Linked DNA regions of Caenorhabditis elegans. The protein of the gene in region 2 interacts with the protein of the main gene of each other region in a pairwise test. Each region holds a gene or a part of one and is shown on either strand. Other genes may lie near its edges.

Region 1 (4,745 bases), 4.6 Mb from region 2:
TTATTTTTGTTAAATTTTCCGAGAAAAAAATCAAAATTTGATTCGGTCACAGATTAGAAAGATTTTTCGGGATTTCAAAGTGAAAAATGTAACCGATTTCGAAACAAACATTTTCTGAAGAAAATCATACGAATATTAGATTTTTTCCGAATTCCAAAGCGAAAATCATTCTTAAAATTAATTTTAAAAATATTTTCAGCAAAAAATCAAGCAGAAAATTTAGGAAAAGAGTACCAGAACAGATTTTTCAACAATTTCAAACGAATAGAAATATTATAAAAACCGTTGAAAAATAACAAAAACAAAGGCATATTTCAGAAAAAGGTGGAAAGTTGAACTCACTCATCGGATCGATTGGTGCATAGTTTTGAAGATTAAAGCTGTTTCCAGATCCATAGCCGCCATTAAACATGGCTGAGATACTTGCTGGAATGATTATTAAGAGAATAAAAATAAAATAAAGCAATAAAAAGATAATAATCTCGGTTTGCGACCGGAATTCCATAATAAAAAAAGAGAAAGTGAGGGAAAGAACAAGAAAATCAATATTTTATAATCAACAAAACATGGGAGTTTAAAAATAACAATTTTTGCTCATTTCTTCGCAAAACTCCGATCCATATACCCGTGTGCTCGTTGAACACCGCGTTTATTACTTTGTAGACGCTTCTCCACTGTCATATCGTCACAGGCTTCGCGCATTTGAGATCTGTAATTAAAAAATACATTTTACAGGAAATTTCACAGTTTTTGTATTAAAAGCTTGTTCCAAGTGAAAACCAGCGTGATCACTGATAAAAATGCATGGGGAATAGGGAATTTCTAGCTTTTGGGGAATAAATAAAGACGGAAATGATGCAAAACCATGCATTTCAGCCAGAACTTTAATAACTGCATACTTTTCTTCTCTGCCGTTCGATACAAACCTAATAAAAGATGGAGCATATCCATTTTTATCCGCCTCTTCCTTCTCCTCATCATCCTCTTTCCGTCCTTTTGTGACATTTCTCTCGCGAATCTCGTCCCTCCATTTCACGTTGTCCTGCTGCATTTCGGCGAGCCGAGCCGCCTTCTCTGCTTCACTCAATGCTCGTCGCGGCTCTCTTGGCGTATTGCCGGTACCACGTCCTGTGGGAATCTTGACAAGCTTGTACTCCTTGGTGGGCGCCCGTGACTCTTCTTCACGTTCCTCGGCTGTTCGCTTTCGCATCTGGAAATAAACAAATTTAATTGAAAAATATTCGTTTTTCTTTAACTTTTAGCATTTTTTCGCAAAAAATAACTTGGAAATGGTTTGAAACTTAAATAACGTTCTTGTTCAAAACTGAGAAAATATAAGAAATTCAATTTTGGAGTCAAAAAATCAATAGTTTCCTTTCATCTATAGAATTGAAAGCATAGAAAATCCAAGAAATCATGGGGAAAACACGGAGGATTCTCATTTTAAGCTTTTCGATCAAAAACCGAATTTCGTGACATTTCCACTTCAGAAAACGGAGCAAAAAATAAAATCAGTGAATTTGTTGACCAATTTCAATGAGAATACAGATTTTCGAAGTAAATATGTCATTTCCAGATGATTTCTTTTTTCACGTGTAAATAGCTTGAGAATGACGGAAAATGGGCAAAATGAAAGTAAATTGTGTTAGAAATGAGCAAACATAGGTGTTAAAATAAGAAAATCACTTCAAAATCAGAAAATTCCTGTAACTCCTCGTGAAAATGTGACAAAAAAATAAAATTGGGATGAAAACTGTTGAAAAAGGATCAGCATTACTGAAATTATTGTTAATCCTCGAATTGTTCGAGGAAAAAATCTGAAAAAGCATGCAAAATTCACTTTTTGACGGAAAATCTAATATGCTAGTTCACTAAAAATTCCTGTAAGAAAAATGTTTAGAACAGCGAATTCACCTCAACCAAGCCATATGACTTCTTTCTCGGATCCTGTCGCTCGTCATCATCACTATTCCGGCGGCGGTGACTGCTCCGAGTTTCGTGCTCAGATTCTGAGCCTGAGCTCGAATCATGACGACTTCGTTGCTGCTGCAGGTGACGTGGAATGTGAGAATCAAACTGTCTTGAAGAGCTCGCTTTGTCGGCAGATCTGGAGCGGGATCTGGACATTTTTCTGAAAAACAAACGAAGTTTTAGACTAACTACCGGCGATTTCTACCTTGGTTCCTCTCTGGATCGCCTCGGAGACCTGGATTTCCGGCGGAGTCGCTCTGCGGATCTTGATCGAGATCTGGATGGCTTTCTGGCAACTTTTCTGGAAAAAAATCATCTTCTATGAGAAAAAAAACTCGACAAATGCGTACCTGGGATCCTCTCGGGATCGTCTTGGAGATTTCGATCGAGAACTGGAAGGTTTCCGGGACAATTTTCTGAAATATTTGTGATAAATTGATATCAAAATTGTCAATTTTTACCTGGACTCTTCACGGGATCGCTTTGGAGATCTTGGTCTTTCTCTTCTGGGCGATCTAGAACGCTTTCTGGGCTTCTCGCTGGGTCTTCTTCTTCGTTTCGGCGATGGCGAGCGTCTTCTTTTTCTTTCTACCCGTTCATCACTGCTTTCATCACTGGAACTCGACGATCGCTTCTTTTTTTTCTTCTTTTTGTCTTTTTTACTCTTTTTCTCTTTACTTTTCTCTGCTTTTGAGGTCATCATACTTTTCAGCGCGGCTTGAAGTCGCATTTTTGTGAGAGGATTATCCATGATTTCCCGACGTTTTGTTTCTTCTCGAACCTTGACGGCGACAAATGGATCTTCGGATTTGATAATATCTTTCTGAAGTGAAGAAGTTTTTAAACCCGTTGATTGTCCGGAATTGAAGACAGCCCTGAAAACTAAAAATTGATTTTTTGTTGCTAATAATCAATTTCCTAATGTTTTAACTCACCTTGTCCCAACAATCGAATCGATTGCTTCTGCTTTCTGCGCATTCACCACATCGGAATACTTTTCAAAGTTCTTGTCAACTTTCTTTCCGAGTAAATAGTCTTCTCGGTGTACATTTCCTTTAGCGCCTTCATACATCCACCCGATTGATACATCTTTGCTCATCTGAACAAAAATCGATTAATGAACGATTTTAAACGAAAAATGTAAAAATCGCGAAGAAAAACCATCAAAAACCACGAGTTTACACTTCAAAACGCGTTGCGCAACCGGTTGCTAAGGAAAAATCAATATAGGTCAAAACTCGGCCATGGCCTCCCGGCCACCGGTGGTTCTAGGCCATTGTTGGTGAAATGCGCGGTATTTCAAATGGAGAAGGGGAGATTTAATACAATTCACAGTTTTTTTTGCTTTTCAATGATTGGAAAGAAAAATTAATTTTAAAAGAGTGTTTTTCGAATTTGGTGTTAAGGAGCAGCAAATTCCATCGCTCTCATACTAATATATAAACCAAAAAACATTGAAAATAGCCAAATTAACTCAGTTTTTATTTGGTTTTTTCCAATTTTATAAAATTTTACAAATATGGAACAAATTTTCTAGATGTTTGGCACTAAAATTGGCTGAAATGTGTTGCTGGGAACTGAAAGTTAGTTTACCAAGTAAGTTGGTTAAACTAAATCAATAAGTAAGAACTTCTATAACTTCTCGGTTATTGAAGATGAATTACAGTCTAACCTTTTCAGAATAAAACTAGAGAAAATTGGCAACTAACATAATTAACGACATATTATGAAAAAGTTAGTTTCCGTTTATTTCCTAATCTCCGTATTTCCGTGCGTTATATATAACAGCTGACCTTTTCCAGGTCACCAAAGACAACTGTTTCATTGCGTAGTTCATTGTTGTAACTTTATCGTAAACGAAGATACGAAAAAAAAGTTTACAGCGAACAAATTCATTTCCTATGAATTTTTCTAACCGTAACGAAAAAGGAAAAGCTGTTCAATTGTGGTTTCGATCTGTGTAACTTTTTTCGAAATTAAAAATAGAAATGTGCAAACTAACAAATTCAAGGCAAATCTGAGGCACAATACCCAAACTAACGGAGCCAACAATTGCCGGGGAGATTTTGAAAGGGAGGGAGAGGAATATGTGATGTTAAAAGACACCAGAAAAGACCTAATTTCGATCGTCCGACTTGTTAAAAAAAGAGGAATGCCCAGGAACAGGTGTGAGATTCGCTACACTTTGTCAGTTGACAATTTTTCCTAGCATCGCTTTGAAAATGTTAAGGCATCAGACACATGAATTACTCTAGTGTATGCATTTTGCAAACTACCGTAATTTCGGACACATCACGGTGAGCTGGAATAAAATAAATAGATACCCGGTATGAGGAAAGAAGGATGAACTAAATCTGTCCAAGACGCTGTGATTTTATACAAAACTTTGTGAGAGGCGGAGCAAAACCGAATGTCGTCGAAATATCAACAAAAAAAAGTGGGCGGATCAATGAGCTGTCACATGTTTTGATTTTCTGTCTTCGTCTTTTTGTTCTTAGGATGTTTCGTATTTTTGTGTTAAAGATCTGGCGGAAGGAAACATGATTTTTTGTCTTCATTGCATTAACATATGAGTGGAGAAAAATGAAAAGGCTATTTATATTATTATGAAAAAGCAAAGGAACATAAATAGAAAACGTATCCCTATTCTACAGAAAAATTTGATAATTTACTTTGAATTTTTCGTTTCCCACTAACTTAAACCTACATAACAAGATAAGCTTCATCAAATCCCCATTACCCCCAATATGTCCAATCAGAAGATATTTAAATCC
Region 2 (6,598 bases):
GCTGTTCATCAGAAATCTCGTCGCCGACTAATTCATTTTCCAATTGAAGGGAATGAATTTCTGAAAATCAAATTGGCAATTATACTCGAGAATTGAATGATTTTTTTTTAATGTTTCAATTTGTATCCAAACAGTTAGATAAAAGTAAAATAGACGAATAAGAAAATAAATACCGTTAACTATTTGTGGCATTAGAAAATGTAAAAGTTCTTGAATTTCTTCTCGATTTACTTTTGGAATATGAAGCTCAAATTCGTCTCCATCACATTTTCCATTCAATTTCTCACTTGTGATTCCAATCTTTATAGCACGGATTTTTGGAATCATATCTACGATAACTCTCATCACATCGATATTACTTAAAGCTGAATTAACAAGATCCGTAGGTTTTAACCCTTTATGGATTTCTCGGATGATTTCCAATGGCATATCACCGAGAATCATTCTGAAAATTTTGTTCTGAGTTTTTTTTGTTGTTGAAAAACATACAGTAAAAAAGGAAATGTACCGAAAGTGGGAAAAATTGAAAAAGGTAAAAATAAATATAAGGTTTATGGAATAAACTTCTGAAAATAAAATTGCAACAGAGTATATAGAAAATCGAACTGGAGTATTAACAGTGACACCCGATTACACGAGAAAATAAGACAGAGAAAGAGAGTAATTGATCAAAGACCCCACAGCTTTCTTCTCTCCGATCTGGCCGATTTCGATCCGACTTCAACAACACGCCTGGAAGATTCTGGTCGTTTGAACGCCTTGTCACTTTCTTCCTTCCGCCGTTCCATTTCTTTCTGCGCCTCTCGCATCTCTGCTTCCATCGTTTCAACCGTTCGGACACTCTCCATTTTCAGTTCTTTGCGTGATTGTTTCGATTCTTTGATCGAATAGAACATGGGTCCAAGTTCAGCAAGCCAGATTGCATCGACAGCAGTTACACATTGCATATATTCTTTGGCTGTCATAATCAATTCGTGGTACACCTTAATTTAGAATATTAATTTAAAGTTTAAAGGAATGTGTTTTTGGCGAATAATTTATTTTCCGCTTCTTTTTTTCGAAAAAGAGGATATACTGAAACATTCATAAATTTTTAAGTGTTACTTTTTTTCCAAAAATCATATTCAAAATTTAAAATAGAGTGCAATTTGGCCGAAATATTTGAAATACCGATTCAGCATTTTTTTTTCTTCAGATTCAGCCCTGCTTACCACGTAATCAGGCATGAAACCCATTCCAAAAAGAGCTGAAGTTGGATGAAGGAAGCATGGAATTCCGGTACGAACATTGACATATTCACCAATTCCTTTAAGACGAGCTGCATTGTGGAAATACGCAGAGCAAATGCATTTTCTCACAATATCCCATTCACTTCCGTTTGAGCTGAAATAATTTTATAAAATTGTAGTTCTAAGAAACTTTCAAATAAAAAAAACCTACATCAATGGAAGCTTGAGATCTTGCATAATTTCCTTCAATTGAGCACGAACTTCTCGAACCTTTTTCAAAGCTTTTACGTGTAAATAGTTGTCGGCACACCATTTTGCAGAATATTTGTGTGTTCTCCATTGAATATAGACGTTTAAGAAAGTGAGATGATCCGATTCGGGAACTTGGAACTTTTCTTTCTTGGCATCAGCTTCTTCTTCTCGTCCTTTTGGTCTGAAGAAAATTGCGGGCACTGACAACATCGAAACAATCGTCAGAACTTCATCACTGCATCCCATTTCAGCCGACATAATGAGCATTTTCGACAGAGTTGGATCTAGTGGGAATTCAACCATTTTTCGTCCCATTGGCGTGAGCTGTCCAGTGTTATCGAGAGCTCCAAGAGTCCAAAGTTGATACATTGAATTCAGCATATTGTCCTGTGGAGGTGCATCCATGAAGTGAAATTTCAAAAGATCATCCACTCCGAGAGACTTTAAAAGAAGCACTACATTGGCGAGATTGGTTCTTTGAATTTCAGGTACAGTACTCTTCTGAAAAATAAATTTGTTTTTATTTGAAACAGGGCTGAGCATATATATATATTTTTTAATATATATTTTTAAAAAATAAAATTAAAAATTTGTCGTTTTCGATATTTTTCCCATGAAATTTTTAGCATTCGTCGCTCACTCCAGATTTGTGAGATTCACCTCAAACTTACCAAAAGCTCATCTTTAAATTGTCTTTCAGTATACAAACGATAACACTGTCCTGGTCCAGTACGTCCGGCACGACCAGTTCGTTGATTCGCTGATGCTTGTGACACTGGGAAGATCGATAGAGCATCCATACCGATTCTTGGATTGTACACCTTCATCTTACAGAAACCCGGATCAATTACAAATAGAATTCCGTCGACAGTGAGCGATGTCTCTGCAATATTTGTAGCCACAATTGCTTTCCGCATTCCACCGGGTGCTCTTTGGAAAATCTTGGCTTGTAAGTCACTTGGAAGCTGGGAATAGATTGGTAGAACAGCAAGTGGAGGAGCTTCATCAAGTTCACCAAGCTTCTCTTTGATCATTTCACAAGTGCACTCAATATCTTCTTGTCCTGGCATGAAAATCAAAATATCTCCGTCCATACCACCCAGATGAATTGTAACAGCTTGTTTAACAGCAGCATCCACATAATCTTCAACAGGAGTTCTCGCATGAAACAGTTCGACTGGGAATGTTCTTCCAGGAATTGTAAAAGTGGGACAGTTTCCTCCGAAAAAGTCTGCAAACTTATCAGCATCCATAGTAGCAGAAGTAACGATTAGCTTCAGATCAGCTCGTTTTGCAATCACTTCTCTGAGCAAACCAAAGAGTACATCTGTATTGAGTGAACGTTCGTGAGCTTCGTCCATAATAATTGCTGAATATTGATCAAGACTTCCATCACCAAGACATTCACGAAGCAGAATACCATCTGTCATGTACTTGATTATTGTTTTTTCTGATGTACAATCTTCGAATCGAATCGCGTAACCAACGTCTTGTCCTAGCTGTAAAAATTAAAATAAAATTGTTTTCTTAAAACAGTGGTGAAATACATAATTATCTCAAAAATGAAACTAACATCCACTCCCATTTCATCAGCTACACGTCTAGCAACACTCATTGCAGCGACACGTCTCGGCTGAGTACATCCGATGAGTCCCGAATCACCAAATCCATCTTCAAGTAGGTATTGTGCCAACTGAGTTGTTTTTCCTGATCCTGTTTCTCCGACGATGATAACCACATTATTCTCACGAATCACATTCATCATCTTCTGCCGACACGCAAATACAGGCAAATACTCTCTTTGCTGCTTGATAGACTTTTCCATCGCAAAATCCGAAACTGCTTCATTATCTTTCATGTGAGATGCAAATTGATGAGATTCTTTGTAATTTCCAGAATCATCGTCTTCTGGATCAGCAGTTTCATCTTTTTTCTCTTTAACACCCATCAAATTTCCGAGTTTTGATCCTGCCAACTCCCAATGCTTATCTTGAGCCTTCTTCCTATCTTCAACTTCTCTCCGTTTTCGTACTGCAACACTTCCTCTTGCTGCTGAAACAGCCATATCACATGTTGTATCAACAACCGGAATGATTGGTTGTGCTTGTTTAGTGAAAACAATTCGACCATCAAGGAATGGAGGAACAATGTTTTGAACGAGAATTGTGACACGATTCTCATCAGTTTCATCTTCAAAAATACTTGATAATTCATCAGCCATCGCGACGACTCCTGATCTATGCAGTCGATTGTTCTCCCATAACTCATTCTCTCTTTTGATCGCCTGCTGCTTCACTGTAAGTCTCGGCTTCTGAGTTTTCTCCTGCCATTGCTTTTCTCGTTTTTCCACAAATTCGTCAGAAACCTTATTGAATGGATTATACTCATCATCAAATGCTCCTTCATTATCATACCATTCTCTGTCCAAATTCTTCTGTTCCTCTTCCCATTGAGCTCTCTCTTCGTCATCATGAAATGTGGGCTCTGCTTTTTCTTCTTTAACACTTCGTACCGAATCTTCTGGTTTTCGATGTCTCCGTCTCTTCTCATCATCTCTATTCCTTCTTTCACTTCTCCATGCACTTGAAATGCTTCGTTCCGAATCCATATATCGTTTTCTGTCTCTTTCACCCCGCGGAGTCGGCATATCCCAACTATTTCGTTTTCTGGAAGATCCTTCACGATCATCTTGATCCCAGCTCATTCTGGATGGTGTATCGGGAACTTTAAAGCGAGGAGTCTGATCTCCACTTCGATCTTTCCAACCTCTTCTACTACTCGGCTCTCTTCGTTCTGATCTGTCACGGTCTCGTCTGCGATCATCATCCCGACTTTTGTATTTCATTCCACGGTCGTCACGATCTCGATGCTTCTCATGAACTCTGAAATCATCAATTTACTTCGCTAATTTAATGTTTGAATCACTTTTCAATTCCTTTTCGAACCGATTCCGTGACACCTCGATCGTCATCATCCTCAAGACGTTTTCTGGCGTGTTCCCGCTTTGTAGACGCCAATCTATCGAGCCCAAGCAAGCTTCTGCAATTTAAATTGTTTTTATTTGAAGAAAATTAAAGTATATATTTAGTTACTCACTTCCCGGATGGTTCGGTTGGTTTTGAATCTCCCTCTACTTTTTTCTTTTTAATAACCAATCCACCAAATGTGTCACTGGTTCCTTCGAGGCGGCCATCTGCCCGTTTATCCGACATTTACTAAAAAATAAAGAATTTAAGAAAAACTAATTTAATTTCGAAAAGGAAATCGAAAATAAATAAAAAATAAATAAAAAATGAGAGAGCGAGAGAGAACGCATTATGAAAAGAGACTCAGACTTTTGTGTCTCGATAGAGCGCTCTTTCATAAAAACATTTTTCGCGAATTTTTTGTTTTTTCTTCAATTTTCTCAACACTCTTTCTCTCTTGTTGCATCTTTTTCTTTTCTTTTCTCTCATTAAAGGTTTCCCGGAGGTCTCTTCAAACAAAAAATAGCCTATAAATCAGTAGAAAATCACAATCTACTTCAATGCCACCAGTTTTCACTATTGAATCCGAATTTTTGATGTTCTTCAAATTTCCCTCTGTATCATCAACCACCGATACCCACTTAAACGGTTCAATTTCTATAGATTTGTTTGTTAACTCAAGCGCTTGAGAACCCCGGAAGCAACAGATCGGAGAGCTGAAGTGTTGAAAGTTGTTTCGAGAGAGTGGATTGCTTAGGCCCTAGCTTAAAATAAACTCAATATATTTAGAATTCAAATTGTTATTTCATATCAAATCATACGTTTACTAATTTTGAAATCTATTGATTTTCTTTTTTTCTCACCTCAATTCTATTTGCAACCCGAATTGCGAAATCGAGAGGGGCGGTCACCATGCCGGCAGCATCGATGACTCATCACTCGTATCACGAACGTTATTTGCATTCTAATGTCTGAAATGACGTTTTTCCCTTCTTGTTGAATGATTAGGAGTGTGAATCGATGTGATGAACTTACTTTCTATTACATTTTTCTTGTCCTTCATTAACGAGAAGCTTCGTATTTTCCTATTGCTCACCTCAAATTAAGGATGGAGTGAATTGGCTGGGGATTTTGCGTTAAATTATAGAAAATTGACCCTGCTAACTGAATATAACTGTAAAAATTAAACTTTTACTAAAACTAAACTTTATTTTTGAATTCTCGTAACATCTTCGTGTTTTTTTTGCTAAATTCATTGGTTTTCTTGATTAATGTTTCACATTTTAATTGAAACACAGTTTGTCAAAATTTCAGAAAAATTCTTTAAAGAGAATCTTTCTATTTTATTTTTTTTATTTCTCACTTCAAATTAGTATTAATTTTCTTTCAGAATGGCTACATTCGGCTTTCTCAGCGCACCGCTGAAATCGACTAATGAAGTGGATCTTGTGAAGCCACTTACAAGCTATATCGACAATGTCTACAATACATCCGATAATAACCGCTCAGATGTCGCCGAAGCTGTTCAGGAACTTAATAAACTCCGTTCAAAAGCTTGCTGTCAGCCTCTCGACAAGCATCAAAGTGCTCTCGATGTTTTGACTAGGTAATAAATTTAAAAAAAAAGAATATCTTTGAAATAATTGTTTTTTACAGATATTATGATCAACTCGTTGCCATTGAAAACAAAATTATAATCTCTGCAACTCAAAATCCAGTTGTTTTCAAATGGAAGGATGCATTCGACAAAGGAAGCCTCTTCTCAAGCAGAGCATCCTTATCCCTGTCTGACGGATCCTTTGAACGTGCTGCCGTTCTGTTCAATATCGGATCGTTGATGTCTCAAATCGGAGCTGCTCAACAATTCCATACCGATGATGAAATTAAAGTATCTGCAAAACTATTCCAACAATCTGCTGGAGTATTCGCCCGTCTTCGTGATGTTGTTCTCGGAATGGTTCAACAGGAACCAACTCCTGATCTCATGCCAGATACACTTGCTGCTCTTTCTGCATTAATGACTGCTCAGGCACAAGAGGCGATCTATATTAAAGGCCACAAGGATAAGATGAAGGCTACATCAATGGTCAAAATATCTGCTCAAGTTGCCGAATTTTACTCGGAAGCACAAAAAATGATGTCTAAGGATAT

Evidence for each region.
Region 1: the proteins of mog-1 (region 2) and mog-3 interact in a two-hybrid assay, tested with the Caenorhabditis elegans proteins (one study listed by BioGRID).

What each region holds. Positions count from the first base shown.
Region 1 is NC_003281.10:5,306,927-5,311,671, reverse strand, and holds mog-3 (Pre-mRNA-splicing factor CWC25 homolog), read right to left. Parts: upstream 3,071-4,745; coding exon 2,907-3,070; intron 2,847-2,906; coding exon 2,433-2,846; intron 2,388-2,432; coding exon 2,322-2,387; intron 2,273-2,321; coding exon 2,177-2,272; intron 2,132-2,176; coding exon 1,915-2,131; intron 1,211-1,914; coding exon 927-1,210; intron 710-926; coding exon 595-709; 3' UTR 536-594; downstream 1-535. Other genes in the region: Putative RNA exonuclease pqe-1, read right to left, coding at 343-412.
Region 2 is NC_003281.10:9,951,520-9,958,117, forward strand, and holds mog-1 (putative pre-mRNA-splicing factor ATP-dependent RNA helicase mog-1), read right to left. Parts: upstream 4,697-6,598; 5' UTR 4,694-4,696; coding exon 4,578-4,693; intron 4,521-4,577; coding exon 4,407-4,520; intron 4,364-4,406; coding exon 3,055-4,363; intron 2,981-3,054; coding exon 2,153-2,980; intron 1,983-2,152; coding exon 1,441-1,982; intron 1,384-1,440; coding exon 1,212-1,383; intron 984-1,211; coding exon 669-983; 3' UTR 541-668; downstream 1-540. Other genes in the region: K03H1.11 (F-box domain-containing protein), read right to left, coding at 1-60, 174-444; alx-1 (Apoptosis-linked gene 2-interacting protein X 1), read left to right, coding at 5,839-6,053, 6,104-6,598. UniProt on the Caenorhabditis elegans protein: Probable ATP-binding RNA helicase involved in pre-mRNA splicing.